Linked DNA regions of Mus musculus. The protein of the gene in region 7 purifies or fractionates together with the protein of the main gene of each other region. This does not show direct contact. Links are inferred from orthologs where the notes say so. Each region holds a gene or a part of one and is shown on either strand. Other genes may lie near its edges.

Region 1 (3,998 bases), on a different chromosome or scaffold from region 7:
AGATGGCTCTAAGGTCTGTGCTCTTAACTGTCACTAGGCCAGCACCCCGTCTACCTCAGTCACAGTACTAGCTAGCTCTTCTCCACCACAAGGTGAGGAACTTGGAACAGGCCCAGACACTGGTGAACCTCCTCACACTAGAGACCCAGGCTGGCTTTGAGCTCTTTCAGAGGACTCTGGCCTTGAATACCTGATCCTCCTTCTACCTCTGGAGAGCTGGGATTACAGCCATGTGCTGTGGGTTTCTCTGTATAGCCTTGGCTATCTCTGTAGACCTCATTCTGTAGACCAGGCTGGCCTCAAACTCAGGCCTGCCTCTGCCTCCCAAGTGCTGGATTTAAAAACCATGTACCAACATTGCCCAGCTTTGGGCCATTAATTTTTTAAAAAAAAAATCTTATTGTGTGTGTTTGCCTACATAGTGTGGAGGGGCACTGCCATGGGCTCCGATGGAGTTAGTTTCCTCTCTCCACCTTTCCGTGGGGTCTGGGGGGAGCGCAGGCTGCCAGGTGGTGCTCAGTGCACTTCATGGGCCCTGCTTGCTCTTTTGAAAAATAGTTTTTTATTTATTATCTCATAATCTCATACATACATATATATGTGTATGTATATATGTATATAAATATATAAATGTATGTATACATACATATAAATATATAAACAAATATAATGCATATATACACATATATGTCACATATGTATTTATATTATATATAATATACATGTATATATGTGTATACACACACATATATATATACACACACATATATACACACATATATAATATATGTACATGTATTTATATATACATTATATATATTTAACATATATAATGTATTTTGATCATGCCCAATTTCCTTCTGTTATCCTCCTCTCCCTCCCATGGACCCTTTGTTCCCAACCTTGCTCCTAGCTCCATGGCTTTAGAAAAATGACCCACTGAGTTTAACTAGGGCTGTTTGCATGAGCATCGGGCAGGGTTATTCACTAGAGTATGGGTAATTTATGGGTGGCTACATCACTGAAGAAAAGTTACTCTCCTGCCCCCAGCACCTCAGTATTTCACTATTTCATTAAAGTCTCTCAGCACCCCGTGAAGTAGGTGATCTTCATTTTCCATCTAGGGGAAAGGAAGAAAACACAACGTTCCCTGTGCAGGTCCCCAGACAGCACACAGCACAGCTGGGACAGGACCCAGCAGTGCGTTCTGGGGCAGGTGCTCTGACCACTTATTCACACTGCTCATGCACATAGGTTGTGAAAAAACTCTTGCATATAAATAATGGAGCATACAGTGAGCACATCTAGCTGATGATAAATATACCCCCCTTCCCTCAAAAAATGCAAAATGGTAAATCTGATCATCCTTGTGTTGTGAACTTTTAAAAAAAATCAAAATGTTAAGGAAGCAAATGGTTTGTAACTTTGTAAGTACTTAAAACATGGTGTATCTTTTGCTTATGGATATTCTGTACTATAACCATTGTTTCTGCAGTTTGATTAAAGTGTTTTCTTGGTGTTAAAAAAAAAAAAAGGGCTGTGGAGATGGCTCAGTGGGTAAGAGCACTGACTGCTCTTCCGAAGGTCCTGAGTTCAAATCCCAGAACCACATGGTGGCTCACAACCATCTGTAATGAGATCTGACACCCACTTCTGGTGTGTCTGAAGACAGCTACAGTGTACTTATGTATAATAATAAATAAATCTTTTAAAAAATAAATAAAAATAAAAATAAAAAAAATCTTGCAGAAACCGGGAGTGGTGCTATACCCCTTTAATCTGAGCACTGGGGAGGCAGAGGCAGGTAAATCGCTGTGAGTTTGAGGCAGCCCTGGTCTACAGAGTATGTTTCAGGATATCCAGGCCCGTAGACAAACCTTGTCTCAAACAAACAAACAAACCAACCAAAATCAAAACCAAAACAAACCTTGCAGTAATAAACGACAGAGGTGGGCTAGGGCATCAAGGCCTGCCTTCTGTCTGAGTTGGGGGCCCTCCTCTGTTTCTGAGGCTGCCCCCCCCCCCCCCCGCAGCCCCCAGCCTCACCAGTTGTAAGCCAGCTGCAGCTGCAGCCTGGCATGATCTGCAGTTTCGATGGTGATGACGTCAGTGAAGAAATCAGGTCCCAGCAGCAGGCAGAGTGCACGACGGGCATGAGGACGCTTGGGTCGCCCAGCAGAAAGGGACAACACTGTGAACTGCTCCTCGGGATCCAGTGACACTAGCTCAGGCCCAAAGACCACACTGTGGAGAGAGCTGGAAGTCAGCCGCCCTGAGAGCTTCCCTGGGGACCCCGGGACCCCGCAGAGGCCTCTGCTGGCTCACCGGGCTCTCTTGGCTCTGTAGTCGTACACCTGCACCGCTGCGTTGTGGGGGACACGGTAGCTGACCACTCGGGTCTTGTTCCTTGCAGCTGAGGGCTGAAGGACCTTGGCTGTGCCCTTCTGACCCCTGTCAGCCAGAGGGTCATGCCCCAAGTTCAGCAGCTCCTCCACTCCAGAAGGCAGTTCCTTTTCCCACAGGACTTCATCCTGAGTCAGCATGTAGGTGCTTCCAATCACAGCCCGCACCTAGGGGAGGCATTTTCAGAGAGGGCAGGAGGGAGAACCATCATCCTTTCAGCCCTGAGCCCACCCTGCCCAGGGCTAGCACAGTGTCCTGGTTAAAGCAGGTGTCTGCAGGAAGACTGCATTCCAGCTTGGTTGCCGTCTGCTCGCTTTTTCTCAAGCTATTGCTCATGCCTCACTTGCTCATCTGTACAATGGGCCATCTGGGGTTTCAGAATGAGGAAGGGCTCACACGTCTAATTCAAAGAACCACACTTGGTATGTAGTAAGTGCCTGGTATTATTTCTAGGGTTTTCCTTTGCTGAAGCAATGTGGTGTGCATCAGAACTTCAGCTGTGATCCTAGGAAGCGCCTTATATACACGAGTGCTGCCTCTGGCTCTGAATTGTTTCTACATTAGAGTCTCAGGGGGAAAGTTGGCAGTGTCACCCCAAGTAAAACCAAGGTCAAGGTTTAGGTGAAGCAGCAAAAGTCCACCAAGACCTTTATGCTCGGACCACATCTGCATCAGGGCAGAACTCCTGTCCTAAAGCCTAGCCCATCCTCTCAGCTGGAGTCTCTGAAATGTAAAATTAGGTATTTAGGACAAAGATGACAAATGGAGTATGGCATGGCCACCTGGCTGCTGCTGTATGAGTCTTCTCCCAACCTGCCTCTCTCCATCAACTCTACCTGCTTGCCCAGAGGAAGCCACCACCGGTACCTCCCATCCCACAGCTGGTACCTTTCCCGTCTTGACATCCTGAACATAGATGCCCTCATTTTGGTCCAGAGGGATAGCCTGACGCTCTTCCACCACCTCCACTTTGGCAGATGGCACATACTCCAGGGGCCCTCGGATGAGCCAGCGGTCTCCAGCCTGGTGGGCGACCTTCTCCTCCCCCTCCCCCTCCTCCAGGGGCTGCAGCGCCTTCAGCAGGAGCCCCTGCTGCTCTGACAGCACGTACACATCCTGGATGCCTCGTTCCAGCCTTTCTCCTGGCTGGAGGAAAAAGGACTTCTCTCCCTAGTGGGAAAAAAGGGGATGTTAGGTCATGGTGTCTCTCTGGCCATACTGCCTCAATATAGCCTCCTGGCTTGCCACTATTGCATGACCTTGAGCCAGGTCTTCTGGTGGCACTTTCCCATTCCCATACTGTGTAGAGGGATTTTAATCCAGCAATATAGCTACTCGGGCTGAAATACAGACATGCCCTTAAAACACACCTTTAATCCTAAACAACGACAGTAGAGTTAGTTTGTACAAGGAAGCACCCATGTTTGAAAGTGACATCTAACTAAATGGCAGACACTCAGAGAAGGATTTGACAGAACAGGATATGCCCAACCCTTACAAGAACAGAGAAAAAAATGAGAGGCTACTTAAGAGAGAGCAGCGCAGAAAGCAAAAAAGGAGGTTTAATGGGAGCCTTTTACAGAGATAGGTTGTAG
Region 2 (3,530 bases), on a different chromosome or scaffold from region 7:
TATGGCGTGGAACACAGTAGAACCTGCTTATACCTGAGGAAAAAAACAGACCAGAGCCCACTGCCTCTTCTTTAAATAGATACATCCCCCACCTCCACCCCAACTCTTCTCTCTCTTTCTCTCTCTCTCTCTCTGTCTCACACACACACACAAAGGCATGGAGGTACTAGGCTTGGAACCTGACCTGACGACCGGACATGTGCCCATTCCGAGGAAGTCTTAGGCAAACCCTTCCCAACCCCCGGAGATTCATCTCTCACCCCCTCCTTCCCCTGAACTCACAGGAAAACAGCTGCTCCCTGGAATCTTGGGCCTTGAGAACAGCCTGCCTGGCCCCAGCTGCTGCCACCCATACCCTCTGCCCCTGCCCTCAAACTGAGGGCCTCAGCTTGCAGCTCCCTCTGGGTGAACTTCCCCTGGGATTTAGTGGCGGGAAAAGGATGGTCACTGGATTGCAGGCTAGCAGCACCAACTCCTTGAATGTGTACAGGCCTTCCTCCCCTGCTTCACCTCAGCCACTTACAATGTCACCTTTTCTTCCCTCCCCCAGATGTCCCTGGATGTGCATCAATGTACCTCCACCCAGAGGGCTTCTCTGGACCCTCTCCAGGTGATGGAGTGATGGGTAAGGCAGCAGGATCCTAGCTATGGGGGAAAGAGTCACCCAGGCTACGAGTCTCTCTGCATTCTCTAGGGTTTTCAACAGTGAACCCTCAGATCTGAGCAATCCCCATCTTTCCTCCACAAGGTTATGGCTATGAAAAATCCCTTCGACCATTCCCAGATGATGTCTGCATTGTCCCTGAAAAATTTGAAGGTCAGAGAAGTGACTTGGTAGGAGGGTCAGGGTCTTCTTCACTCCTGTCACATACTGGGTCCTGTAGGAATCCCATTTCATTAGTGGAAGAAGTCAGGACACTCGGGGAAGAGTTTGGGGAAGCCACATGGGTGGGTGGGGGAGTTGGTTAGGGCATATGTACATCACACCTATTTCCACTTTCCCAGGAGACATCAAGCAGGAAGGGATTGGAGCTTTCCGGGAGGGGCCACCCTACCAGCGCCGGGGTGCCTTACAACTGTGGCAGTTTCTGGTGGCCCTGCTGGATGACCCAACAAATGCTCATTTCATTGCTTGGACAGGCCGGGGAATGGAGTTTAAACTAATTGAACCTGAAGAGGTAGGTCTTACGTATTCCCACCCCTCCTGTCCGGCACCTTTGGAGCCCTGAGAGGAGAAATGGTGGCACTTGCTTCCACCACTGTCCTCAGTCTGCCTGACCCAGTTCTTGCCAAGCCAGAGTCAGCATTGTGCTGGTGACTAGCCTAGATTGTCCCCGCACCAAGAACCTCAAATGTCCCACTCCCCACCCCACCCCTGCTATTTTTCCTCTGAGATTGCATCTCCACCCAAATCCTTTTGTCTCTTGTCCCCCAGGTTGCCAGGCTCTGGGGTATCCAGAAGAACCGGCCAGCCATGAATTATGACAAGCTGAGCCGCTCGCTGCGATACTATTATGAGAAAGGCATCATGCAGAAGGTTGGGCTGAGGTCCTAGCACGGCCACAAGGAGGGGCCAGGGGTGGCTAAGGGTTCAAAGTGTGTCAAGAGAAGGTCAGGTGGGGTGTGTGTGTGGGGGGGGGGGGAGGCGGGCATTCTCAGCAGGTTTTCGAGAACAGAAAATGTAAACCCCTAGGTTCCCCTGTAAAGTTGCTAGACAATGAATGAATAGTCCCAAGTGTGCTATGATTGAGATGAGACGTGAACAAGAACCAGAAGGGAGTGGGTTTCAAGAAGAACCAGTGTAAGAGGCAAAGAGGTCCTAGTGCATATTTGTGGCCCATGAGAAGGGGAAAGTCTCCAAATTCTCTACTGAGGCAGAGCGTTCGTGTCTGGCCTGACAACCCTCTCTCCACAGGTGGCTGGCGAACGCTACGTGTACAAGTTTGTGTGCGAGCCGGAGGCCCTGTTCTCTCTGGCCTTCCCAGATAATCAACGTCCAGCTCTGAAGGCTGAGTTTGACCGGCCAGTCAGTGAGGAGGACACAGTCCCTTTGTCCCACTTGGATGAGAGTCCTGCCTACCTCCCAGAACTCACTGGCCCCGCTCCGCCCTTCGGCCACAGAGGTGGATATTCTTACTAGGCACCAGTGGCTTCCCCTTGACATGGTGGGGTTGCTCAGTGTATATATCAACTGATTTGGTATTGGTGAAGGCCCTCTTTCTGATGCCTGTAGAAGTCTCTGGGGTCAGAGCTCCACTATCCCATCTGATACTCCTGGCCAGACTCAGCTGCTAACCAGAGTCTGCGGGAAAGACAGTGGAGGCAGGCCAAATCTAAAGGCAGTAGCCGAAGTTCGCTGTGGCTCACCTGTACCTTCAGTTCAGCTTGGCCTCTGCCTAGGTCTTGCTCAGAGGCCAAGTTCCTCACCCCCACCACAGAGATCCAGTGTTCTATTCTGGGGACATACAGGGACTTCCCTTGTTTATTATGGCAACAGGGCCAAGGGGATTCTCAGAACACCCTGTGTCTCCCCTCTCCCAACCCCCCATGGGAGACAAAGTTCTGCCTGGGTTCTGCCCTGAACAGGGGGGTCCTGTGTTCTTGGTGCTGTGCTCTGGGAGGCAGGAGCATGTGGGCGGCAGCTGGGGGGGGGGGTTGGGTGGAAGAGTAGGGATGGCTCTCTGCCCTAGGCCTACCCAGGCCTAATTCCACCTTTGCCTCTTATGCCAGACCTTAATAAAGCCTCTGCTTCTCCGGTTGTTTCTATTTGCTCTTTGCTTCCATGAGGCAAGGACCTGGGGTGGGAAGAGCTATGGCCATGCAGCAGTTGACCAGAGTTTGGAGTCTGTCCCCTACAAGGCCTTCCGTGAGGACCTGATGCCCTGTTCCTGGAGTCTAGCTCAGGCCCTCACTTGCGTTTCTGGAAATCCCTTGCCGTTGGTTTTCCTCTAGAAAATGGATTTTGGAAACTCTGCTCTTACCTAACCTAGGACCGTGTGAGGATCTAGAAATAATGGAGTGTACTGTTTAACCCAGCAGGGCTTCTAGACCACGCCTTGCCACGGTTAGCCTGTCCCTAGAAACATCCTCGGGTAAAGACGTGGTCTGTGGCTTCTGTGACCATAGTTGCTCCAGTGACTGGGAGCCCATGTTCATCCCAACTGCTTGTCCTTCCTCCTACACAAACTCCAGGCTGCTGCTTTTACTGAGCTCAGAAACAAGTGTTTGGAGACTAGAAAAGGAGAAAGCAAGCAACTGTAGGGGCGGGGGTGACAGCAGGTCCCGAGTAGGCTCTTTAGTGGGGTGGCAGTGACAGACATTCTCCTAAGACCACTCCCAGGTGGGGGAAACGGACCGAGGAGCAGCTCTGGAACGGGAGGGACAGAAGGAGGGACAGAGTCTGGATCTAGAGCCAGCTTTCCAGGACTCGGCTCAGGTAAAAACAAGCAGGTTCAATAGAACCCCAACTGCTACCCACAAGTAAAAGGCACCACTCTTTCCTAGAAACATGGGAAATCAATGTACTGACT
Region 3 (4,649 bases), on a different chromosome or scaffold from region 7:
GGTCATTTCTTCTGTTCCCTTGATCTGTACTTCATGCTGCACAGACTTCTGGGAAAGACTCCCCAATACCTGTGCACGTGCTAATGGATTGGGGTGCCTGTCCCTCTCTCCTCTTCCTTGCCCCTGCCCCTAGCATGTGGCAGTCCCACGTGGAAATTCACAGGTGTACTGCAGAGAGTCTCTACCTTGAGCCACCACACACATAAGCATGGTGGAGCACACGTTCATCAGCGTGACCCTCCCTGCTGAGGCTAACTCAGGTTCCAGAGCAGGCTCATCAGTGGGGACTCCAGAGAACACGACATACATTCCCTCCAGTTCATGCTTTAAATGCTACTTCTCAGCCCAGTGTGGAGGCACAAATCTGTAAGCCCAGACACAAATTTGAAATCACCCTGGTCTACAAAGAGAGACCCTGTCTCACAAGGCCGAACAATATTATTTCTCAGTAGTTCTGCTTTTCTGGGGGCTGGGGCAGGGTTAAGACAGGGTCTCTTTATGTAGCCTTAGCTGTTCTAGAACTCACTACATAGACCAGCATGAACTAGAACTCATGGAGGTCTGTCTGCTCTGCCTCCCGACACTACCAGGGCTAGCTCTGCTTCTGCTCCTAGAGAAGGCTTTAGGGGAGAGACACATCTGCAGTGACGCTGTCCAGCCTGGGGAAGCCCCATTCTCTTTTCAGATAGAATACATAAACTGCAGCGTGCTCTCGGGACCCCTCAGAACAAACAGCTCCGTGGGACACAGCTCTACTAGCTCCTGTCAATTGCTTCAAGTGGGTCCCAGAAGCTCTCTAGCCATTTGCCACGAAAACTACCATTCACCAAGCGTCTACTGCACACTGAACGCTGAGTCCTAACTCTGTAACATCTGTCTTGATCCTCACGACAGCCCTATTGCGGAAGAAGTCCTACTGTGTCTTTTTACAGTGAGAAATCTGGCTAGCTGAGCAGGGATTAGAAGTAGACCTGTTTGAGCCAAAAAAGCTCTTAACCGCTTCAAACTACTGTCTTCTCCGTTAAAGGCACAGGAGAGAAAATGAAACCCCCCTTACATCTGGGAGGAAAGTCCTACCTTGCCATTGCCAGCAGCTTAAACAACCTGAGATCTCAGAGAGAGAAGAGCACTTTGGGGAGCACTTGAAGGGGTTGTCCACCTAGCACTGACCACACGGTGCCTTCTCAGCACAGGTCCAGTAGGTCTATACTCTCTTCTTGGAAGCATGTGATGGTCTCTGACGAAGTGTCTAGCTCTCTCACCCTCCTCAACTCCTCACAGAGAATGCGATCTAAGATACAGATCTAGTCCTGTCACTCCTCAGCTAAAAGCTTACTGGCCTCTTGTGCACTAGACACAAAGTTCCAAATGATCCATGAGATGTTCATTTTTTTTTATTAACTTATATTGCTTTACTTTGTGCCCTGTCGGCTTCCATACCACTCTACTGACACAGCTAAGGTTGTCTCTCTCTGACTCTCTGTACTTCTCTCCAAATAGCATCTCCCATTTTACATGACTAAGCCTCCCTCCCCCTTTCTGTCCTTCCAGTCACTATCCTCCTGTCACTACTGCTCAGGCTTCCCAGACTGAGCTAGCAGCTTCCCCACTGGGCTCCCTCAGCATTCAGTTTCTGTTGCTTTTGTAGATCACATTTCACCTATCTGCTTGCAGGTCAGTTTCCTCTAGCTGGACAGTGAACTAGTTCGGATAAGAACCTCTTTATTAGGTGTTAGCGCAACTCTCCATAATGACTCTTTTTACCATGGCCAGTGGTTTGCAAATGAGGACGAATACAAATGACCCAAGGTCGGGCAACCAGAAAGCAGCGGCACCAGAATCTGAATTTAAGGAGTCCAGAGCAAGGTTGACACACACTTTTAATCCCAGGCTTTAAGGAGTGAGCCTCCAAAGCCTACGAATACTACACAGCACTAGGCTCTACAGGCAGGGCCCTTTTGTTATGAGAAAAATGAATGAATGAATGAATGAATGAATGGGGACTATCTCTGGCAGAGATAGTCTAATCCACAATCAAATAACAGGGCCTTTAAGGAGGAACTCACAACGTTGTTTATAAATAAGGGCTATAGGATTTTGCTCTTCCTTATCTCATGCAAAACTACTCAGCCGAGAGGGAAAGGCGCCCAGCCCAGCGTGACTACCCTCTTCCTCAATGATTCTCAAAACCAGCAAAGCCAACCGGTTTCCTCCAGTGACTTAAAACAGAGCAAAGTCTATCCTGCCACCGAAGGTGGCTGTCAGCTCTTCCTTCTGCCAACAACCTGGGGGAGTGGGGGTGGACGGAGAAGCCACCGGGAATCCGAAAGCTCCTACCCAAGATTGAAAGGTGGGGCCAAGCATCGTAGGAATGGGCGGGCCTGACCAGGATGGCAGGTGAAACACTGACCACAGCAAGCTCTCCCACGGTGAAGACCGGCCCAACGTGGATCTGGCAAGCAGGTTGCTGTGACTCGCACCTGAACGCCGCCCAGGATGTGAAAATTCCCCAGCAGCGATGGTGTTGGTGCCAACGGGTGAGGGCTCCAGGAGGAAAACCTTGGCTGGCTCTCCTTGGGGACTCGTTCTAACTTTCAAGTCACTCTCTAGGTCAGGAGAGAAGCATGGAGAGGAGGAGCGGGTCTCTCTGGGAGAAAAACTAGAGCGGGCCAAACGCCGGCTGCTTCGATGACTGGTTGAGTGGGTCTGGGCAAGGCGAGCAGTGCCCATTTCCCAGGGCTGCGGCAAAAGACCGAGGCTCCCGGCAGCCGACGCCCCCGCTGCCGGGAAGGACAGACCTCCAGTGGCGGAGGGGGAATTCACTATAGCCGTTCTGGTCGCGCCGGTCAGCTTCGGGCTGTCACCGGGGTCCCTCCGCCACGGTGGCCCGCCCCGCCAGCACGCAGCCCCCACCCGGCTCCGCGTCCCGGGACCCCGAACTCACCTTTCCCGGGGAATCAGCGCTCCTTGCCCATAGTCCGCAGCCCAGAGTCGGGGCTGCTCGGCGCTCCGTCCCGGGGGCCGGGGCCGGGCCGGGGGCGTGGGAGCCGCTCACCGCCGCCTCCCAGCGCAGCCGCCAGAGCTGCCGCCGCCGCCTCCCTCCATGGCTGCGGCGCCGCCACCTGACAACGGAAGTGACGCATAGGCTCTCGGCCCCGCCTCCCGCCCCCTCGCCTGAGTTTGGGGTTGGTGCGCCATCTTCAGGATGGGCGGAAGCCTTCAGGCAGGAAGCCCAGATAAGATCGCCAATTGGTTCTGGGTGGAGTCTGGGTCGAAATCTGTAAAGTGATTGGACAGTCAGGGGGCGGTACTTACCGCTAATCTACATCTACAGTGGGACTGGGACAGAGGCGCCGGTCCGCCTTGGCTCTGCAGAACCTCACCGACTTATGCTCTCCTTGCTGGGGTTGGGGACGTCTCTAAGTGGTTGCAAAACCCGCCAACTGCACTGCATTCTTTAGAAAAGTAGTCTTTCTTTGCTCCCCATTTCTCGGCTTCTGGAAATTTGTGTGGGAAAGTGCTGAAGTTGGGTACAAGAGAAGTCAAGAATTGGCTGTCGCTACTGTCACAATTCATTTCACTTTAGGCCCTTCAGAAACCCCAAAGATGGCCAAGTTCATCTTGGACATCCCTAGAGTCTTGTCCAGGGAGATTGCAGTGAAGAGTTCCAATGAACGACTTCAGCCGGCTGTCTACCTCACTCCCTCCTGCCAGTTTCCGTCCTTTCTCCTCCTTCAGCAGCCACGCCCTCCATGAATCAGCTTCTTGCACCAGCAGATGAGCCCTTTAAAGGGATTGCATCAGTCTGGTGACTCACTGGGGGCCCTCGAAAATCCTGGCTTCCGTCCACTGCCGTGTAGAAGCGGCCAGAAGGGCTCGGTGGCAGCAGTACCAGCGGCCATAGTCCCACTCCTTTGTCTCAGAGTTAACAAGTGTACTTGATGACACTCTTCCCTCCCCTGGGTCATTCTGGATCCACGTGTAGACACACGTGGACACGACTAAGCCCTGCTAGGACACCGAAGGCTGGTCTTCATAATGAAGTCCCAGCCTGAATCCTTTCTTAATGTCTTTGATTGGCTTGGTGGCCATTCAGCTGCAGATAATGCTGAATAACTAGTAATGATACCAGCTCCTAAGGCCCTGTCTTATGCAAAATGAGGCACTTTTAGAGACCTGTTAACAAATGCAGAAGGTAGCACTCAGAGAGAGAGGGTAACCTCTGCCGTGACACCCAGCTAATAATGGCTGGGCTGTGGTTTGAAGAAAGTTTCGTGGGTTCCAAAAAGGCTAGAGCTTGAATCCCCATTGTATCACTTACAAACTAGGTAATTCAGTGTAAATCCTGGCTGCCCAAGTGGGGATAACACATTACACCAACCATGGGAGGACCCAAGGAGTTTCACATCCAGCTAACCACACCCTATAGATGCCCACTGGTCTCAGTCGGGGAACCTCTAGGAGGCACGTGACTCAAAGGCAGGCATCCAGAAGGCCGGCCCACTTTGCTCCTCTCTCTGACAAAGTGAGGAGAAAAAGGATTCCGGAAGCCCTGCCTTTGACAGGGATGAATCTTGGGTTTTCCAGTTCACTAATTACCAGTAAGATGAATCACTGGGCGCTGACACCACCATTCCAACTCCTGGTAG
Region 4 (3,998 bases), on a different chromosome or scaffold from region 7:
CTATGTGGATGACCTAGGGCACTCCTAGAGGGATTTGTAATGAGAATCCTGCCCCAACTTGAACCCTCTGTCTCCAACTTTTCCTCCTGAACTGGTAGCCATTCACACAGAAGTAGGAATTACTTCCAAGGTTACAGTTCATAGCTACATCAACTGCTCTGCTGCCGAATCAAGGAAGCTAGAGGTGGAAGGAGCTGTTGAGAGGAGCCCTGGTATATGTTACTCAGAATCCCCTCCCTCCCTCCCTCTTTTCCTCCCTCCCTCCCTGTGGCTTCATAGTCTCCTCTCTGGGCAGTTTGGAACATCTGGTGAGACCAGTGGGTGGGTCACTGCCACCTGCCACCTCCTATTAAGAGAAATAAGCTGGAGAAAGAAAGATTTGTCTTTAATCAGTTCAATTCCAGATTAACACAGCTAGAGCCTCCTTAGTTTCGTAGGCCATTAGTTTCAGGAGCATTCGAAAGCAGGCATGGGGTAGGGGTGTTGTAGAAGATGGCTCAGGGAATGCCAGAGGGAATTACATGTTGCTGTGTATTGCGGAATGTTAGATCTGGCACAGAGACAGCCTTGTGCGGGTGGGTGCATGGTGATTACTGGATATCATGAGTGAACTAAATGGATGCTCAAAAATGGTTATGATGGTGAATCGTTTAATGTAAAATTTATTGTATTAAAAGAAAAAAACAGCACCCTCAAAATAAACCATACAGAGAGAGAGAGACAGGGACAGAGACAGACAGACAGACAGACAGACACACACACACAACACAACACAGCCTTCTGCAGTATTCCTCTTTAAAGGGAGATTGAGTGACTTAGCTGGAGCTACAGCTGAAGTTGGTGAGAGATACGCCTGACTGGGAGTCTGCACCCCTAAAGACCACACTGTCTAGGAAAGCAATCAGTGCTTGATTTTTGGAACATGTTCATAGAAGATCCTAGAAGCAACCCATCTTTTGTCATCTTCTCTACTATTGAGCTCCCAGCAGCTCTCCTTAACTAGTTGCCATAGGTGACTTTTCAGACTACCTTGAGAGACTGAGATCTGTAGGTACAGAGAGTAAAAAAGGAAGAAGATGAGAGGAAGATGGTCTTGGGCTACACGCTGTGAGTGATGACCAAGGTGACCCCATTGTAGTTTGTCCAGACACTTTCTGTTGCTAATTTGAACCCTTTAGCTTATGCACTCAAGCAGGATGAAGGCCTGGATGTATGCACTGAGAGACAAGGATAAGTGATGTGAATTTATGGGTCTTTTAAGTACCCCAGAGGCCCAATTCCAGCTCCAACTGTCCTTAGCTACCATCTTAGCAGGACTCCAGGAGTGTGGTAAGAACTACCTACTCAAAGGGTTGTGCTCTGCTCTGTCTGCCTAAGAGAAAAGGGTTTTCATTTCAAACACAGGGAAGGAGTATGTTTACCAGTCTCACAAAGCCCAGGCTGGCTTCCAATTTGCTGTGTAGGTTAATCTTGAACTGCTGATCTTTGCCTCTGCCTTCCAAGTGCTGTGATTACAGGTGTGTACCACCACGCCCAGCAGCAGTTTGTTTTGCACTAATATGATTGATCTAAGAAGTCATCTTAGTTTCTAGATTTTCCATTTCCATAGTGTATATCTTTATTTCACACTCAATGATGAAGCGTGGTGTGTGTGTGTGTGTGTCATATAGGTGATGTAAGCTAGGTGTTAGGGCCAGAAATTCACATGTATTTCTCCACTCCTTCTAGCACATCTAGGGCTTGCATATTTGTATAGATAAGTTGCTGAGTTCTTGAAGAGTCGGTGGATTGGGAGGTGGGATAAATAGTTTGAGAAGACTCTTGGCAACACACTGCTATTGTCACACCCATCTACCCAGACACACAGTCACATGCGAACCATGCACCTGTAATTAGTGATAGGTGCCAGGTCAAGGACCCAAGGCTTTGGGGGTATGACAGGCGGGCCAGGGCAGGTGAAAATCTGGAAATGAAGATGGACTTGGTATTTGGATGCTAGGCTTAGATGAGTAGGTCGTGGAGACCACTTGAGCCGAAATTCTCCCTGCCTTTCTTCTTGTGTCCCAAGAAAAGTGGCGGGTACAGCTAAAGAACCCAGAAGGCAAAGTAAGGAATTCTTGTCCACGCTAGAAGGCTTCAAGAAAATTACTCAAACCCCCAGCTTCAGTATTCTGTGCTATGAGTGACATCCAGCTTGTTACAGGGATGGATGGATGGATGGATGGATGGATGGATGGATGGATGCACAAACATCAGCAACCCTGATATACCGATGGGATGGATGTGTCGATGGATGTGTCTCCCTCATCCTTAGGAGCTTCTGTCTTTGTCTCTTTCCTACAGGACTCGTGTCAAGCTGGAGAGTTTGGAAGACGCTTACATTCTCCGGGGTGATGATGACTCACTCTCTGACAAGCATGGCTGCCCAGCGTATGTCAGCCCAGAGATCTTGAACACCAGCGGCAGTTATTCGGGCAAGGCAGCGGACGTGTGGAGCCTGGGGGTAATGCTGTACACCATGTTGGTGGGGCGTTACCCTTTCCATGACATTGAGCCTAGTTCTCTTTTCAGTAAGATCCGCAGGGGCCAGTTCAACATTCCAGAAACTCTGTCTCCCAAGGCCAAGTGCCTCATCCGAAGCATCCTGCGACGGGAGCCGTCAGAGCGGCTGACCTCGCAGGAAATTCTGGACCATCCTTGGTTTTCTACAGATTTTAGTGTCTCAAATTCGGGATTTGGTGCTAAAGAGGCGTGTGACCAGCTGGTGCCAGACGTCAACATGGAGGAGAACTTGGACCCTTTCTTTAACTGAGCTCAAGGCCCAGGGACACATAGCAGGTACCAGGAGCAAGAGAGAGCCCCAGAAAGGAGTTCTGGGACACAGGTGGCCTGGCTGAGAAGCAAGACGGACATTCATATTTACACATTTCTTGGTTCAGAGAAGGAATATGTTCTAGGAGCTGACGGAACACGTAGCATGGGAACAAGACGTGTGGGATGGGGGTTGGGTTCAGATGGACGGGAGCCCCTCCCCTAAGCTTCTCTTCCCTGGGGTAGCCTGAGAGTCCCCCTTACCAGTAGGGCTATTCTACCCCACTTTTCATTTTGTTCAGAAATAGTTGCAGATCTCGATAGAATCCAAACTCTTCTGCCTCAAACACCTACCTTGGCATTGCACTGTTAGCATTTAACTTCTTGTTACGATTCAGGGAAGGGACAATTGATCGAAGATTTTTTTTTTTTTTTTGGAACAGACCAACCACCTATGTAATAATTAATAAGATTCACCTAAAAATAATAATAATTCGGTGCACACAGACTGACCTGAAACCTGGGTGCTAAACTAAAAGAAAACAAAAGTTCCAGTTGTCGTCTCTCATTCGCACTTTCCAATTCATTTCTTCTAAATAAACGATGTCCTATTCTGGTTAGGAAGTAACACATTAACGCTTTGCTCCCTGAACGGGGAGGGGGAGTCTGTTCCTCCACAGACATTTCTGTTTTGTATCAGCTGGTTTTTGTAGCAGGAAACTATCAGAAGTCAAACTTCCAGATGTATTATCACAGTTCAGGGGAAGAAGAAAGGAAAAGAAGAAAAATCCAACTCCTTTCTGGTTTTTGTTCTTTTGAAGGAAGAGGGTTCACATTGTAGACATTGCTCTCTGCTCCAAATTCAGTGAGGGGCTCCCAGAGGGCAGGCGCCTCCTGGAGTCAGATCTTTTTGATGATGCTGATCTCAACGTTTTGTTTTTGCTTTATGGGAAACTAGTAAAACGAGACAGGTTGTCCCATGTGTATAAAATACAGGGCAGCTATTTCCTTTTCTTTGCTAAGAATGATCCTTTGGGCTTGGAAAGGCCCTCTGGTTTGAACAGAAAGAGTAAACGGGCAATAAGCCAAAAGCCAGGATGATATACATACAAACAGCTCTCTGTCCCAATACGCACCTTGTATTTATTAAGGAAAATGTCACATTGTGATGTATTAAGCCAGTACTT
Region 5 (4,648 bases), on a different chromosome or scaffold from region 7:
TTAGCCTGGGAAAGCAATCTTTCTGTGGAGCTGTGACATGAATTGATCACAGAGCACAAAAACTGGAAGCAAGCAGGTCGTCCTATCACATTTTGTCTACTTCAACAAGGGGTCACCTCGAGTCATTAAAAGGTGGGTAGGTGGTCAAAAAATGTGGATTAATGGGTGAAGCTTCCTTAAGAGTCCATGTTGAGAAACCAGTGTGGTGCCTGAGAGGACAAAGCCACTGGAAGGGCTGCTAAGGGGCTGCTCTTTTATTAATGAGTTTCTCTAAAGGGAATGTGGTACTCAGGTCCATGGAACAGCTGTCTGAGCCCCACACACCATCCCTTCCAGAACCATCATCAGAAAAACAGTCCCCGCATTCGCCGGCCAATGCCTTGTCGGTCGTAGAGGACGTTGAACTTGTTCACAAACTGGTTCATTGTGTTGCACGTTTTGGTGATGGTGCCGAGGTAGGCCATGAGCCCCACGTCATTGCATTGCTGGGAGGGAACACAAAGAACCAGTTCCCCAGGGGTCCCTCGTATTAGCCAGTGACACTTGAGTTTCACCTCCTACCTGTGAGGTGGTGTGAGCCCCACCTCCCCATCAAAGGTGTCAACACTCACATCATAAAAGTCTGTCTTGAACTTGTCAGTGCTGAGAACTGGAAGACAGTGACATAGGGCATAGGCCTCCCGCAGGATCTCATGGTTGAAGGGAACCTCTCCTAAGGACACAAGGAGGCTGCACTGATGTGGATGCTGTCACTTTTCCAGGAGAGGAAAAATGTTTCAAAGTGACAGGCACCTCTCCTACCTGCTTCAGAGGCCTTGACATATTCTAAAATGAGCTTCACACGGCTGTGCAGCATCTTGATGGCACTATGCTGAGCTATCAGGTGTTCAGCCACTGCAGGGGAATGGGGCAAATGAAGGGCGGCCTGTGGCCACACCCAACCCCTACCTCCAAAGACTGAATTCCCCTCCCTTACCAGTGGAGTTCTCCCCACTGCCTGTTGCTGTCATCCGGGCCACGTGGTCTACACCGATCCGTTCAGCTTCCTCAGTGGCCAGAGTGTAAGTGAGCTCAGCAAACAGCATTGTGGCCTGCAGAGTAAAGAGTTCTCAGATAGGGAGAGTCAGGAAACAGACCTAGGCCTAGGCAGATGGCTCAGCAGGTAGAGTACTTGCTGCACAACTGAGGATCTCAATTTAGAGCCTCGGAACCCACATTAAGTGAGATGTGACAGCATGTGACTGTAATCCTGGAACCCCTACAGCAAGATGGGAAGTGGAGACACAATTCCCAGAAGCTCACAGGCCAACCTGCCTGGCAAACAAGTGAGTCTGTCCCAAGGTAGAAAGCTAGGATGGACACCCAGGGTTGTCCTATGCCTGCACACGGCATGCAGGAAACAGGCTAAAAGGTTTGAAGGTTGCAGGTTATATATTACCTCTCCATTGATTATATCGATGACAGACTCAAAAACGCTGACAGGAAGCTGTAAAAACACAGACGGAGACAAGAGAACAGCTCTTACTAAAAGCAAATGCACTTGAACTTACACACATGCCAGGCTGGCTTTGAACTCACAATCCTGCCTCAATCTCCTGAGTGCTAAGATTGGTTACAAGTGTTGTCACCACACTTGGCTCATGCTTTCTCTAGGTTTTACACACATTACATATGGAAACACCACTGAAGAGATGAAGTCACACAACTGATGGGTGTAAACAGCAGGGTAGAGATTCAACTCAAGCTTTCTCTAATACACATAATGTCGGTAAATTAGAGCAAAGGCATAGTGGCAGATGATCAAGAAAAAGGGGACATTGGGTCAACAACACTCACATCTGTGTGCTTGGTCATAGGGTTCAACTTCAGAAAGAGCGGACTCTCAATTATCTCACACACCTAGAAGATAAGGCAAAGCCCAGGAAGAGTCAGTATCTCCTCTTCCCCTAACCTTCTGTTCATTTCCCCAACATGCACATATTTGAGCTTCTATACCTGCTTATGGACGTGGATGTCTGAGGGGTCAGGTGGCCCCCCTGTGGTATACCAACCCAGAAACTCCAGCTCCTTGAAAACCTGTTTAACTGGAGAAGAAGGGGCCAGAGTAAATATTCCTTTAAACCTCTCTTCCTTAGTTTGATGGGCCTGGTGTGTTCTTTCCGGTTCTCCCCTCCCTCCTCATATTTTGGGTCAGTTTAAAATAACTACACCTAACTAACCTTGAACTTCTGACCTCTTGCCTCTATCTCCTGGGTTATATGGTACTGAGGATTGAACTCTGGTCTTCCCGAATGTTAGGAAATGCACTTTACCCCACTGCCCTACATCCTCAGGCCTTTTATTCTTTAAGACAAACAAAACAAAACAAAAATCTTCCCACTTTTCCTTCCCCACCCACTTCTATTCCCCTCTCACACTGCTCCTCCTTGGTGTAATAATATTCTTTGTCAATGATAATCTTCTCTTCCACGGTGTGGGACAGCAGCTCAAAGGAGTTCATCACTTCGATATTTCGCCCCTCCTGCTTCCCGATCAGAGCCCCAATCACTAAGGGGAGAGAAACAGAAGCGCAAGGAAACTAGGTGAGGAACAGGCGTCTCGGAAAACCTTTCCCGAGTCGGCGTGAATCAACGACTGGGGAAACAATAATTTGGAAGAAAGGGCGCAGGGGAGTGACTGGAGGAAATCTCCAAGAGATTTTGAGATTTACACACAACACTCACCCTGCATAGGCCGCCCCTCCTGGGAGCGCATGCGGATCCAATGGTCTGAGATGTTAAGGATGACAAGGGGATGAAGAGCGACGGAAACACTCCCAGTCACTCCGGAGGCCATCACGCTGGGGACTGTTAAAGGTGAAAGGAAAACATAGCGGCTGAGAGCTCGGGCCCACACATTTTCCCCTAGACATGGAAGCAGGGGACCAGCAGAGCCCGGCCGTCCATCGCTGCCCTCAAGTTATCCTGGGACAGGTTTAAGAAGTACTCAAGACCACTTCTCAAGGGCAACTCCAGAAGTCGGTCTGCGCACCCCGTTACCTGCTGCATCCACTTCCATGCCGCTGCTGCCTCCGCTCCCATTCGCCCCCGCCGCAGCTGCCGCCGCCATTTTCCCCGCGCCCGCCAGCCACGGCCCGCCCCTTTCCTTCTCGGCTTCCGTCGGGGAGCGGTGCATGCTCAGTGTATACTTGGTGCTGCTAATGGGCGGGGCAGCTGCCAGTACTTAGTAGCTCAGGGTGCTCTGCGTGTTGTGCTGCTGCTAGCGGTTCTCATGTAAACCAGCCTGGCCATGAGTTCTGTAGTGTGTATCTGAAGATGGCTTTGAACTTTGATCCTCTTGCCTTTACCTCCCAAGGAGGGCTATTAGTTTCCAGGTCTCAAGTGGATACACTGTCAATACTAAACACAGAGAAAATTGCGATCAAAAGGAGGAAAGGCTGTAAAAGGGAATGGGGAAGACAATTTATTCAGGATATAAAATTTTTCATGTTGCATATAATCTATAGAGACTTGATCACTTGTTTGTTGAGATAGGGTCTTACAATGTTGGCCAGCTGGTGGGAACTTGCTATTCGTCTAGGCAGACTTCTAGGAGATCCGCCTTCCTCTCCTTCCTGAATGCTGAGATTAAAGGTGTGTACCATACCCAGCATGCCTAGCTTTTAAAACGATGTACTGAGGATCTAAACTCAGGTCCTAACACTTCATCCCCTGAGCCATCTCCCCAGTAGTAATTACTCTTGAATTGTTCAGCTTCTTCAGTTTCAAGACAACCTCTTTACACAACTTAGCAACTGCTATTGGGAGGGCTTGTGGCCCACGCCTTTAATCACAGCCTTTAATCGAGGCGGGCAGACCTCATGAGTTCAAGGCCAGCCTGGACTACAAAGTGAGTTCCATCACAGCCAAAGCTACACAAACAAACCCTGTCGCACAAACAAAAAAAAAAAGGTGGGGGGAGGGGAAGAGTTGCCTTGGTCATGGTGTCTCTTTACAGCAATAGAACAGTGATTAAGACAATTACTTGTAACAAAAAAGAAAACCAAAAAAAAAAAAAAAAAAAAAAGACAATTACTTGCCCAGCATGGTGGCACACGCCTTTAATCCCAGCACTTGGGAGGCAGAGGCAGGCGGATTTCTGAGTTCGAGGCCAGCCTGGTCTACAGAGTGAGTTCCAAAATAAAAAAAATAAAAATAAAAATAAAAATAAAAGAAAACGTTTCCTACTTGGACAATAACTAAGGCTAAGCGACCTGCTTAAATAGCCAAGAAAGAGTATTTGGTCCACAATCATTCATTTGGGGCCAATAACAGCCATTTTTTTAAATTTTTATTTTGGTTTTTCGAGACAGGGTTTCTCTGTATAGCCCTGGCTGTCCTGGAACTCACTTTGTAGACCAGGCTGGCCTTGAACTCAGAAATCTGCCAAGTGCTGGGATTAAAGGTGTGCGCCACCACCGCCCGGGCTACTTTTTATTTTTATTTATTTATTTTTTTTACTAATCACAGTCACTGAAGTATGTGCTTTGGACCAATCATGGCTTTGCACTGATTCGCAGTAGTCCTTCCACTAGGGAAAGGGCTCCCTTCCTGTCACGCTGGAAATGCTTTCAGGTTCATCTACATTTCATAGGGGTCTATGACAGCAA
Region 6 (4,136 bases), on a different chromosome or scaffold from region 7:
AGGCTGGCCTCAATGGCCTCAAACTCAGAGATCCTCCTGGCTCTGCTTCTTGAGTACTGGGGATTAGACAAATATGCTACCATGGCAGGCTCACATTTTTTTTTAAGATTTATTTATTTATTATATATAAGCACACTGTCACTATCTTCAGACACACCAAAAGAGGGCATCCGATCCTATTAGAGATGGTTGTGAGCCACCATGTAGTTGCTAGGATTTGAACGCAGGACCTCTTCCAGAGCAGACAGTGTTCTTATCCACTGAGCCATCTCTCCAGCTCACGGCTCGAACTTTTTAAAATAGGTGCTCCCTTCTAAAATACCAGCCCACACTTGCCTAGCAAAGACTGGTCCTGTGTTTGGTCTCCAAGATAGCAATATAAAATACTCTGGATTTTAGCATCTTTCTTTCTTTTTTTTTTTTTTTTTTTTTGTTTTTTTTTTTTTCGTAACAGGGTTTTTCTGTATAGCCCTGGCTGTCCTGGAACTCACTCTGTAGACCAGGCCGGCCTCGAACTCAGAAATCCTCCTGCCTCTGCCTCCCGAGTGCTGGGATTAAAGGCGTGCGCCACCACGCCCGGCTATCTTTCTTATTTCTTTGGAATATATGGTTTGGGGTTTGCTTGTGCCGTACTGTGGACACCAAGAGAACAGGGGCAATGGCTGTGAGTCTGGTCAGCTGGGCAGGGGCTGCAGACAGGCCATTGAGCTGGCTTTTCTTATGCTGGATGTGTGGGAGAAGGGGGGCTATGGTGGTGATCTGCCTCCACGAGTGGTTTTCTGTGTGGGTTACATCCTAGTTTCTGAGGCCTAAATCACACAGGGTGGCAGCTTAGAGCAGAGATTGGTGCATGGGTTCTAGTCCCAAATATGCTACTTGCTGGCCCTGTGACCCCGGGGTCTCCTGACCTGTGTGGCTTTGCGGATATTCGGTTGATATTTGGCTGTGAGTGACTTGCTAAACAAGGGCTTCTGTATGTGTAGCTCACAGCTCACAGAGTTGGCTGTCCCATTTTGCTAGGTCCCTTGTGCTTACTCCTGACTCTGTCTCCAGGTGTACCCTGCCAGCGAGGCCCAGGCGGTGCTGGCACCTTATGCCCGGCTGCCTACCCACCAGCATGTGGCCCGTCCCACAGAGGTCCTGCTGGGCTCTCGGCTCCTTTACATCTTTTTCACGAAGACCCATGGGGACTTGCACAGCCTGGTGCGCAGCCGCCGCGGTATCCCAGAGTCCGAGGCTGCCGGGCTCTTCCGGCAGATGGCTAGTGCCGTGGCACACTGCCACAAGCACGGGCTTGTCTTGCGCGACCTCAAGCTGCGTCGCTTTGTCTTCAGCAACTGTGAGAGGTGAGTGTGACCCCAGAGGCACACTTGAGAGGTAGGCCACAGTGGGGAAACTGAGATCCAGGGGAGCAGAGTAACTTAGGAAGAGCTAAGGTAAGCATAGCTTATGCTTAGCATGTGCAAGGCTCATGATCCATCCTCAGCAGCAAAAGAAGACAGGGAAAGAAACCTCCAGCACTGAGTGACCGCTGCCTGTGCCGTGAAATCTGTAGCCCTAACAACTGGGCTCGGGGGAGAGACAGGTGGGTCCCCAGAGATCACTGGCCAGCTAGTCTATTCAATTGGTGAGCTACAGGTTTAGTGAAGGACCCTGTTTCAAATTAAATAAGGACAAAAGGAATATCTTATTTTGGGGGTGGTAGCATACACCTTTAAATCCTGGCTGAGGGGAAGATAAGTGGATCTCTGTGAACTGGAGGTCAGCCGGGTCTACAGGGTGAGTTCCAGGCCAGTCAGTGCTATGTAGTGAGATCCTGTCTCAGAAAAAAAAAAGTGTGTGCTGGGGGATGGGGGAGTTGGCAAGATGACTCAGTGGGTCAGAGAGGACCCATCCACGTGATAGCTAACAACCACCTGTAAGTCCAAGTCCAAGGTATCTGACAGGCTCTTCTGGCCTTCATGGTGCCCAAACACATGAAGCAGGAAAACACCCATTTGCATAAAATATAATAAATACAAAAAGAAAGAGGCCAAGTGGTGGTGGACTTGGACCCCTGCCCTCAAGAGGCAGAGGCAGGCTGATCTCTGAGTTCAAGGTCAGCCTGGTCTACAGAGTGAGTTCCAGGACAGCCAGGGCTATATAGTGAGACCCTCACCCATCAAAACCAAAAGCAAACTAAACCAAACAAACAAAAAACTAACTGAGGCTCGGCATGGTGGCCCACACATGTAATCCCAGCACTCAGGAGGCAGAGGCATGAGGACAGTAATTAGCCCAGACTGGACAGTGTACAAGACAGAGAGTGGAGAGGAGGCTGCTATTCCAGAGGACCTGAGTGGGACCTGATTTTTTTTTCTGTCTGTGACCCAGGACGAAGCTGGTGCTGGAGAACCTGGAAGATGCCTGCGTGATGACTGGATCAGATGACTCTCTGTGGGACAAGCATGCGTGCCCTGCCTACGTGGGACCAGAGATACTCAGCTCCCGGCCATCCTACTCTGGCAAAGCGGCTGATGTCTGGAGCCTGGGTGTGGCGCTCTTCACCATGCTGGCTGGCAGATACCCATTCCACGACTCTGAGCCAGTCCTGCTCTTTGGCAAGATCCGTAGAGGGACCTTTGCCCTGCCTGAGGGCCTATCAGCCCCAGCCCGCTGTCTGATCCGCTGTCTCCTCCGCAAGGAACCTTCAGAGCGACTTGTGGCCCTGGGAATCCTCTTGCATCCCTGGTTGAGAGAGGATCACGGCCGAGTCTCTCCTCCACAGTCTGACCGAAGGGAGATGGACCAGGTGGTCCCAGATGGGCCACAGCTGGAGGAGGCTGAGGAAGGGGAGGTGGGGCTGTACGGCTAGGGCCACCTTACTGGCCCCTCAGCTCCAAGGTGTGAGTTGAGTACCTGAGTCTCAGCTTTCTCCTGACTTTTTGGGCCAAGCTAAACCTTAAGTGCCTTTCTGGAGGAAGAAACAGCCGGCGTGCCTTATTCGTTCCTGTGCCTAGTGGGGTGATGCTCCCTGAGTGCCACGCCCTGCTCTAGGTGCTGTGAACAGCAAAGGAAAAAGAGGGAGAAATATACCTTGCTGGCCAAGTTGCCACAGTGCCGCATGCTCTCCGGCCAGCCCCTGCCTTGGGCACGTTTCCTACCGGGGCTGTCTTCTCTGGTGCTGGTTCATGGGACAGTCCCTTTTATCAGTGCCCCAGCTGCCTTCTGTCTTGTGCCTTTAAACAAAGGAAACATCTCTGTGCCAAAGACCAAAGTCCTCACTCACCATGTGCCTCAGGACCACAAATCAGGCCGGGCTGGGATTGTGGCCTCCAGGCAGGAGAACCTGTTTGAAGAAGACTTGGCTGTGGGATTCAAGCCAAAAGGATGAGACTCCAATAAAGAGGCATCTGACTCAAGGAATAGTCTGGAATAAGGATCCGGGTCTGTTTACCCTGGTAGCCTCCGGCTGAAGCACCAAAGTTGGAGGGGGAGGACCAGGCAGGGTCTGTCCTACTGCCTACAGACAATCTCAGGCCCTGTTCTGGGGACTTTTAGTACCCAGGCCCACAGTCAGTTTGATGACTTTGGTCTGGTTAAGTGTGTATTTTCATCATGTGCCCAATAAAAGAGAGCTGTGTGGTTTGATATGTGAAACATCCTTGGTGACTTTCTCTTCTTCAACGCTGGCCCCACCATGAAAGCCAGGTACAGCTCAGCCCCTACCAAGTGGCTTGTGAAGAAATTCCTCTACTGATCTTCCTGTACATGCCTTTTCTTCTAGAGACCTTGGGTCTCAAGTGGGGAGCTTTCTAAGCTGAGCACTGGGGTATGGCTCACGTGTAAGCACACACCTAACATATTCAGGGTTATGGGTTCTGTCCTTGGCCCAAAAGGGCATCAGTTTAAACTGGAAGAAACATACTTTGCATAAAGACAGGTCAGTGACCAGGGTAGTTTCAGGGCAGGTCAGTCTGGCTCTCCAAGCTGTTGGCAGAATGTCTGCTTTCTTGACTCCTTCAGTCCTTGGCTGTTTTCCATGGAGATAGCTGGCACTTATGTCACATTGCACAAAGAAAAGGGGCATTGTAGCACTTATGAACCTAGCACTTGAGAGTCAGGCTGCCCCAAGTGCAATCTTTCCAGAACACAGC
Region 7 (3,998 bases):
GATGTGAAAGAAAGACCAGGGGTGGGAGTGGGGTGGGGAAGTGACGGGGGCGGGGGAGGGAGAGAGGAGAAACAATTTATTGACATGGGGTGGTGAAACAAACTGCAATCAAATAAAAAGCAAAGACACTGGAGGAAAGCCTCATATTTACTGACATTAATTCTTCTGTAAATGTATTTGATACATTCTAAAAATAACATATGAGAAATTCTTTAGAAAAGCATTTGGTACAAACACAATTATCTTAAGTATAAAAATATTAAATAGTGGTTGAAAAAATTTAATTATAAAGCATATAAATACCTTAAATTAAGAAAACAAAAATATAATTTTTAAATATATAGTTAGTATCCATATTTACCTGATAGACCTTTGACCTCTGTCCTGTGAATCCATCCCATAGTATAACAGTGCCTTCATAATCACTGCTGGCTAGCAGGTTCTTATGGTAACTACTCCAACTGATACAGCTGAACAAAAGAAAAAACTAAACCTTTAAGATGTAAATAAGTAACACTGGGGCAAAATGCATTTCAGTGTGTTCAGGAAGATAAACACTCTTCAAATGGTCTCTATCACTTCACATAATTCAGAAAGAGATGTTAGGAATATCTAGATTTTCTGATTGATAGTAAACAATCAAACGCTGAAGTTTACCACTTTTTACTAAGATCACAGAGGATGACAGACAGAGCTGAGAGTTGCTACTGATCACCTCTGTAACATGTGAAAGGGTAACTGTTAACGACAATGATGGCTCAGAGAATGGTACGACAGAATGACAGATATTAAAAACTGTTGAGCCCCAATATTCAGCTGTGCCAAATCATGAAGCTAAACTAATGAGTCTGAATTGGATTTCAGTTTTACATTCAAAGGGTCTTGACCAATGCAATGTATGATTGAAATTCCAATTAAAATCATGCCACAGATTTAAAGCTTTAACATTTATGATTTTAGCTATTCTCTAAAAGTCTGCATCTAAAGCAATAAGCTATTGTTGTGACATATAGAGTTAAATCATGCACACTAAAATGTGTGGATTACCGAATAAAGCACTAAGAAAAGCAGTTAACATCCAAGAATGTATTTTGCACTCCATTGTATTTATGGCAAATTTTAGGGATTGGGAGGGGATCATCTGCATTTTAAAATAAACTCAGTTTTCCACTATGGATTCCGACAAACCTGCACTCTAATTTCAGATCTGGTATTTAATAGCTGCAGCTCTGGTTAACTTAGTGTATTTCATAACCGGTGAAATCAAACTGGACAGCTCTGTTAGTTGTGCTTAGGTATTGGTCTTTTCAGCCTGTAGGTTTTGGCCTTGAGCAATTTCAGGCATTTACTGGAATGTGCCATAAAGCACTATTCATTTGCACATGTGCCCATGATAAAACAGGCAGTAGCAACACTTAAAACTTATTACATTTTCCTTTATGCTGACTATGAATACTAAAATGAACCAAGTATTCTGCTTAGTTTATTACTATAACATTTTAAAGTACAATGTTATACAACTAATCTTACTGCAATGGCTATATGCTATAAATATGTACAAAGGGATTTAAAGAGCACAGACTCTAGAATTAAACTCCCTCACTCTGCACCGCTCTACATATTAGCTAGATTATCCCAGGCAAGCTATTTATTTTTGGTTTTAGTGCAATTCAACTGTAAGTGTGGGTAATAATGGTAACCATGTCAGATAACTGTTAAGAGCACTTAAGACAATGCCTAACACATAAGCATTTAAGAAATTCATTTTTGCAATGTAGTCTCTACTTAGGAATATAAAAAAAATCTCAAGTATGAAGCCACTATAAATGGGCGGGCTCTCAAACTGCTGTGTATGAATTAGTAAATAAAAAAGAACATGATACTAGTTTATCACTCATATTAGAACACACATATAAACACATATACCTTGGATTCGACTTCTTAATACAATGAATACTCAGAATTCACAAGAGTTAGAGCACCAATTCTGCTGGCTAAATGTACACAAACTGTTTCACACAAAGTATCCTCTCTATATACAACCAAAGCATGCTCTCTGAATGAGAAAGTCTCATGGAAAAAAATATACAATAATGTCATACTTAGCACTAATATGAACAGCTATATGTGTACGACTTTATGCCAAGAAAAAAAGAGAAATACCTGATTTTGGAATTGCAGGTCATTTCATTCTCAGGGTAATGAATATCCACTGCATCCTGGATGACTGTGCCATACTCATAGACTTTAATCTTCTTTGTAACTCCAGCAATTGCAAAATAGTCACAATCCCGGTCAAACTCAATACTAAAGGGGAAGGAGAGCACACATGTCATCTATGAGGCTATGTATCCAACCCTGTGATATTATCTACAGCAAATTTTCTGCATTTTACTTTTTTTTTCCCTATTTCCCTAGTGCTGAAGCTTAAACTTAGGGCACATATGTACACTAGACAAATATGATACCCCTGAGCTGTGTCTCCAGCTGACATTTTCCCTTTTTAAAGAGCTTCTATTCCTCCAAATAAGACAGCTTCTTCAATATCTTTAAGTCTCACTAGGTGACATGATCAGAATTAAGTCATCAAGATACTGAATTACAAGTGTCAGAGAACTGTATAGATCTGTAACTGTCAACATGAACTTTTGTTACAAGACACCCAGCCTGTTTTTCAGTTTAGCTTTAATAACCATATTACATCCTAGTATGGAAACCTTTAATAGTTTGAAATATTATGAGTGTTGAAAGAAAATTACCAATAAATTTTTTTCATAAATTCTTGTCATTGGTGACAAAGGGACAGACTATTCTCAAAAAAAGGAACTAAGTTATCATTACTCTACCTCAAGTCTATTCCTTATTCCCCAAACAAATACTATCTCTCTGAATTACAAAAAGTCACGGCATATCCCTTTTTACACAAACAGAGAATATAAAAAAACCCTCTGCACCTTTTACAGGACTTAGGGAATCCACTATGCTCTTGTAGCTTCTTTGAAACACAAATTTCAAAATAAGCTACTTCAGTGCAAAATACAAGATCCTATTCACTTTTGTAGAATGTAACTACAGCCTCCATACTTATCATACAGGCCAGAAATCTAAATTGCCTAATGCAGGTGAAAGTTGGAATGAACCTCCATATTCAATACTTCTCCATATAAATTAAGTGTTTTTCCTAGAGAAATTCTCACTGAAATAATCACTATTTCTCCTAACTACCATATGAGAAAGTTATTACTATTATCAACATTTTTAGAATAATGAGGATTACAGTAAAGTGATCTGTTCAAAGGTAGCTGACTTTTAAGTGATTTGAAATGATATTTTAATTATCAGGTAGTCTGGCTTCAGAGATGATGCCACTAATTACTATTCCCCCCCCCTCCCTCCCCCCCCCCCACACACACAACTGACAATGCAATGGTACTTGTGCTGGTTAGTTTTATAACAACTTAACCCAAGCAATTTCTTTGACATGGAGAATCTCAACTGACAAAATGGCCTCACGAGATTGGCCTGTAGGCAAGCGTGAAATTCATTTTCTTAATTACTGATTGATATGAGAGGGCTCAACCCATTGTGGTTCTCAGTGCACTAAGAAAGCAGGCTGAGCAAGCTATAGAGAGCAAGACTGTAAACACCACTTCTCCAAGGCCTCTGCATCAGTTCTGGCTTCCAGCTTCCTGCAGTATTTGAGTTCCTGACTTAACTTCCCCTTAATAATAGACTATGCTGTGGAACCATAAATGGAAATAAATCCTTTCCTCCTCAAGTTGCGTTTGGCCATGGTTATTTATCACAGCAGAGAAAGTATGACAAAGACACTACTGGTAAATGGCATCTATTGGAACTGAAATCTGATCTTTAACTCAGATAATTTAGAAACACCTAGTAACTCAAATAAGAATCAGTTATATAATCCTTGAATACATTCCCTCTATTTATAAACAGGTACTACTAAGAAATCAAAATAACTATAATATATGAGTGAA

The links.
Region 1: the proteins of Cop1 (region 7) and Mvp purify together in Homo sapiens (affinity purification with mass spectrometry; 3 studies listed by BioGRID and IntAct, with this or other methods). This does not show direct contact. The link is inferred for Mus musculus from reciprocal best matches to the Homo sapiens genes COP1 and MVP.
Region 2: the proteins of Cop1 (region 7) and Etv4 purify together in Homo sapiens (affinity purification with mass spectrometry; 5 studies listed by BioGRID and IntAct, with this or other methods). This does not show direct contact. The link is inferred for Mus musculus from reciprocal best matches to the Homo sapiens genes COP1 and ETV4.
Region 3: the proteins of Cop1 (region 7) and Stk40 purify together in Homo sapiens (affinity purification with mass spectrometry; 3 studies listed by BioGRID and IntAct, counting the BioPlex papers as one, with this or other methods). This does not show direct contact. The link is inferred for Mus musculus from reciprocal best matches to the Homo sapiens genes COP1 and STK40.
Region 4: the proteins of Cop1 (region 7) and Trib2 purify together in Homo sapiens (affinity purification with mass spectrometry; 4 studies listed by BioGRID and IntAct, counting the BioPlex papers as one, with this or other methods). This does not show direct contact. The link is inferred for Mus musculus from reciprocal best matches to the Homo sapiens genes COP1 and TRIB2.
Region 5: the proteins of Cop1 (region 7) and Cops6 purify together in Homo sapiens (affinity purification with western blotting; 3 studies listed by BioGRID and IntAct, with this or other methods). This does not show direct contact. The link is inferred for Mus musculus from reciprocal best matches to the Homo sapiens genes COP1 and COPS6.
Region 6: the proteins of Cop1 (region 7) and Trib3 purify together in Homo sapiens (affinity purification with mass spectrometry; 5 studies listed by BioGRID and IntAct, counting the BioPlex papers as one, with this or other methods). This does not show direct contact. The link is inferred for Mus musculus from reciprocal best matches to the Homo sapiens genes COP1 and TRIB3.

The regions. Positions count from the first base shown.
Region 1 is NC_000073.6:126,990,229-126,994,226, forward strand, and holds part of Mvp (major vault protein), read right to left. Parts: intron 3,574-3,998; coding exon 3,292-3,573; intron 2,571-3,291; coding exon 2,326-2,570; intron 2,245-2,325; coding exon 2,047-2,244; intron 1-2,046. UniProt on the Homo sapiens protein: Required for normal vault structure. Vaults are multi-subunit structures that may act as scaffolds for proteins involved in signal transduction. Vaults may also play a role in nucleo-cytoplasmic transport.
Region 2 is NC_000077.6:101,768,976-101,772,505, reverse strand, and holds the end of Etv4 (ETS translocation variant 4), read left to right. Parts: intron 1-550; coding exon 551-625; intron 626-748; coding exon 749-817; intron 818-1,005; coding exon 1,006-1,178; intron 1,179-1,435; coding exon 1,436-1,537; intron 1,538-1,915; coding exon 1,916-2,140; 3' UTR 2,141-2,758; downstream 2,759-3,530.
Region 3 is NC_000070.6:126,102,442-126,107,090, reverse strand, and holds the start of Stk40 (serine/threonine-protein kinase 40), read right to left. Parts: upstream 3,135-4,649; 5' UTR 2,945-3,134; intron 1-2,944. UniProt on the Homo sapiens protein: May be a negative regulator of NF-kappa-B and p53-mediated gene transcription.
Region 4 is NC_000078.6:15,792,422-15,796,419, reverse strand, and holds part of Trib2 (tribbles homolog 2), read left to right. Parts: intron 1-2,343; coding exon 2,344-2,812; 3' UTR 2,813-3,998.
Region 5 is NC_000071.6:138,159,573-138,164,220, reverse strand, and holds Cops6 (COP9 signalosome complex subunit 6), read right to left. Parts: upstream 3,120-4,648; 5' UTR 3,109-3,119; coding exon 3,039-3,108; intron 2,847-3,038; coding exon 2,724-2,846; intron 2,548-2,723; coding exon 2,416-2,547; intron 2,085-2,415; coding exon 1,996-2,084; intron 1,900-1,995; coding exon 1,837-1,899; intron 1,487-1,836; coding exon 1,439-1,486; intron 1,092-1,438; coding exon 977-1,091; intron 895-976; coding exon 802-894; intron 713-801; coding exon 612-712; intron 486-611; coding exon 345-485; 3' UTR 237-344; downstream 1-236. UniProt on the Homo sapiens protein: Component of the COP9 signalosome complex (CSN), a complex involved in various cellular and developmental processes.
Region 6 is NC_000068.7:152,336,925-152,341,060, reverse strand, and holds the end of Trib3 (tribbles homolog 3), read left to right. Parts: intron 1-1,053; coding exon 1,054-1,346; intron 1,347-2,373; coding exon 2,374-2,854; 3' UTR 2,855-3,636; downstream 3,637-4,136. UniProt on the Homo sapiens protein: Inactive protein kinase which acts as a regulator of the integrated stress response (ISR), a process for adaptation to various stress. Inhibits the transcriptional activity of DDIT3/CHOP and is involved in DDIT3/CHOP-dependent cell death during ER stress.
Region 7 is NC_000067.6:159,304,882-159,308,879, reverse strand, and holds part of Cop1 (E3 ubiquitin-protein ligase COP1), read right to left. Parts: intron 2,308-3,998; coding exon 2,164-2,307; intron 471-2,163; coding exon 362-470; intron 1-361. UniProt on the Homo sapiens protein: E3 ubiquitin-protein ligase that mediates ubiquitination and subsequent proteasomal degradation of target proteins.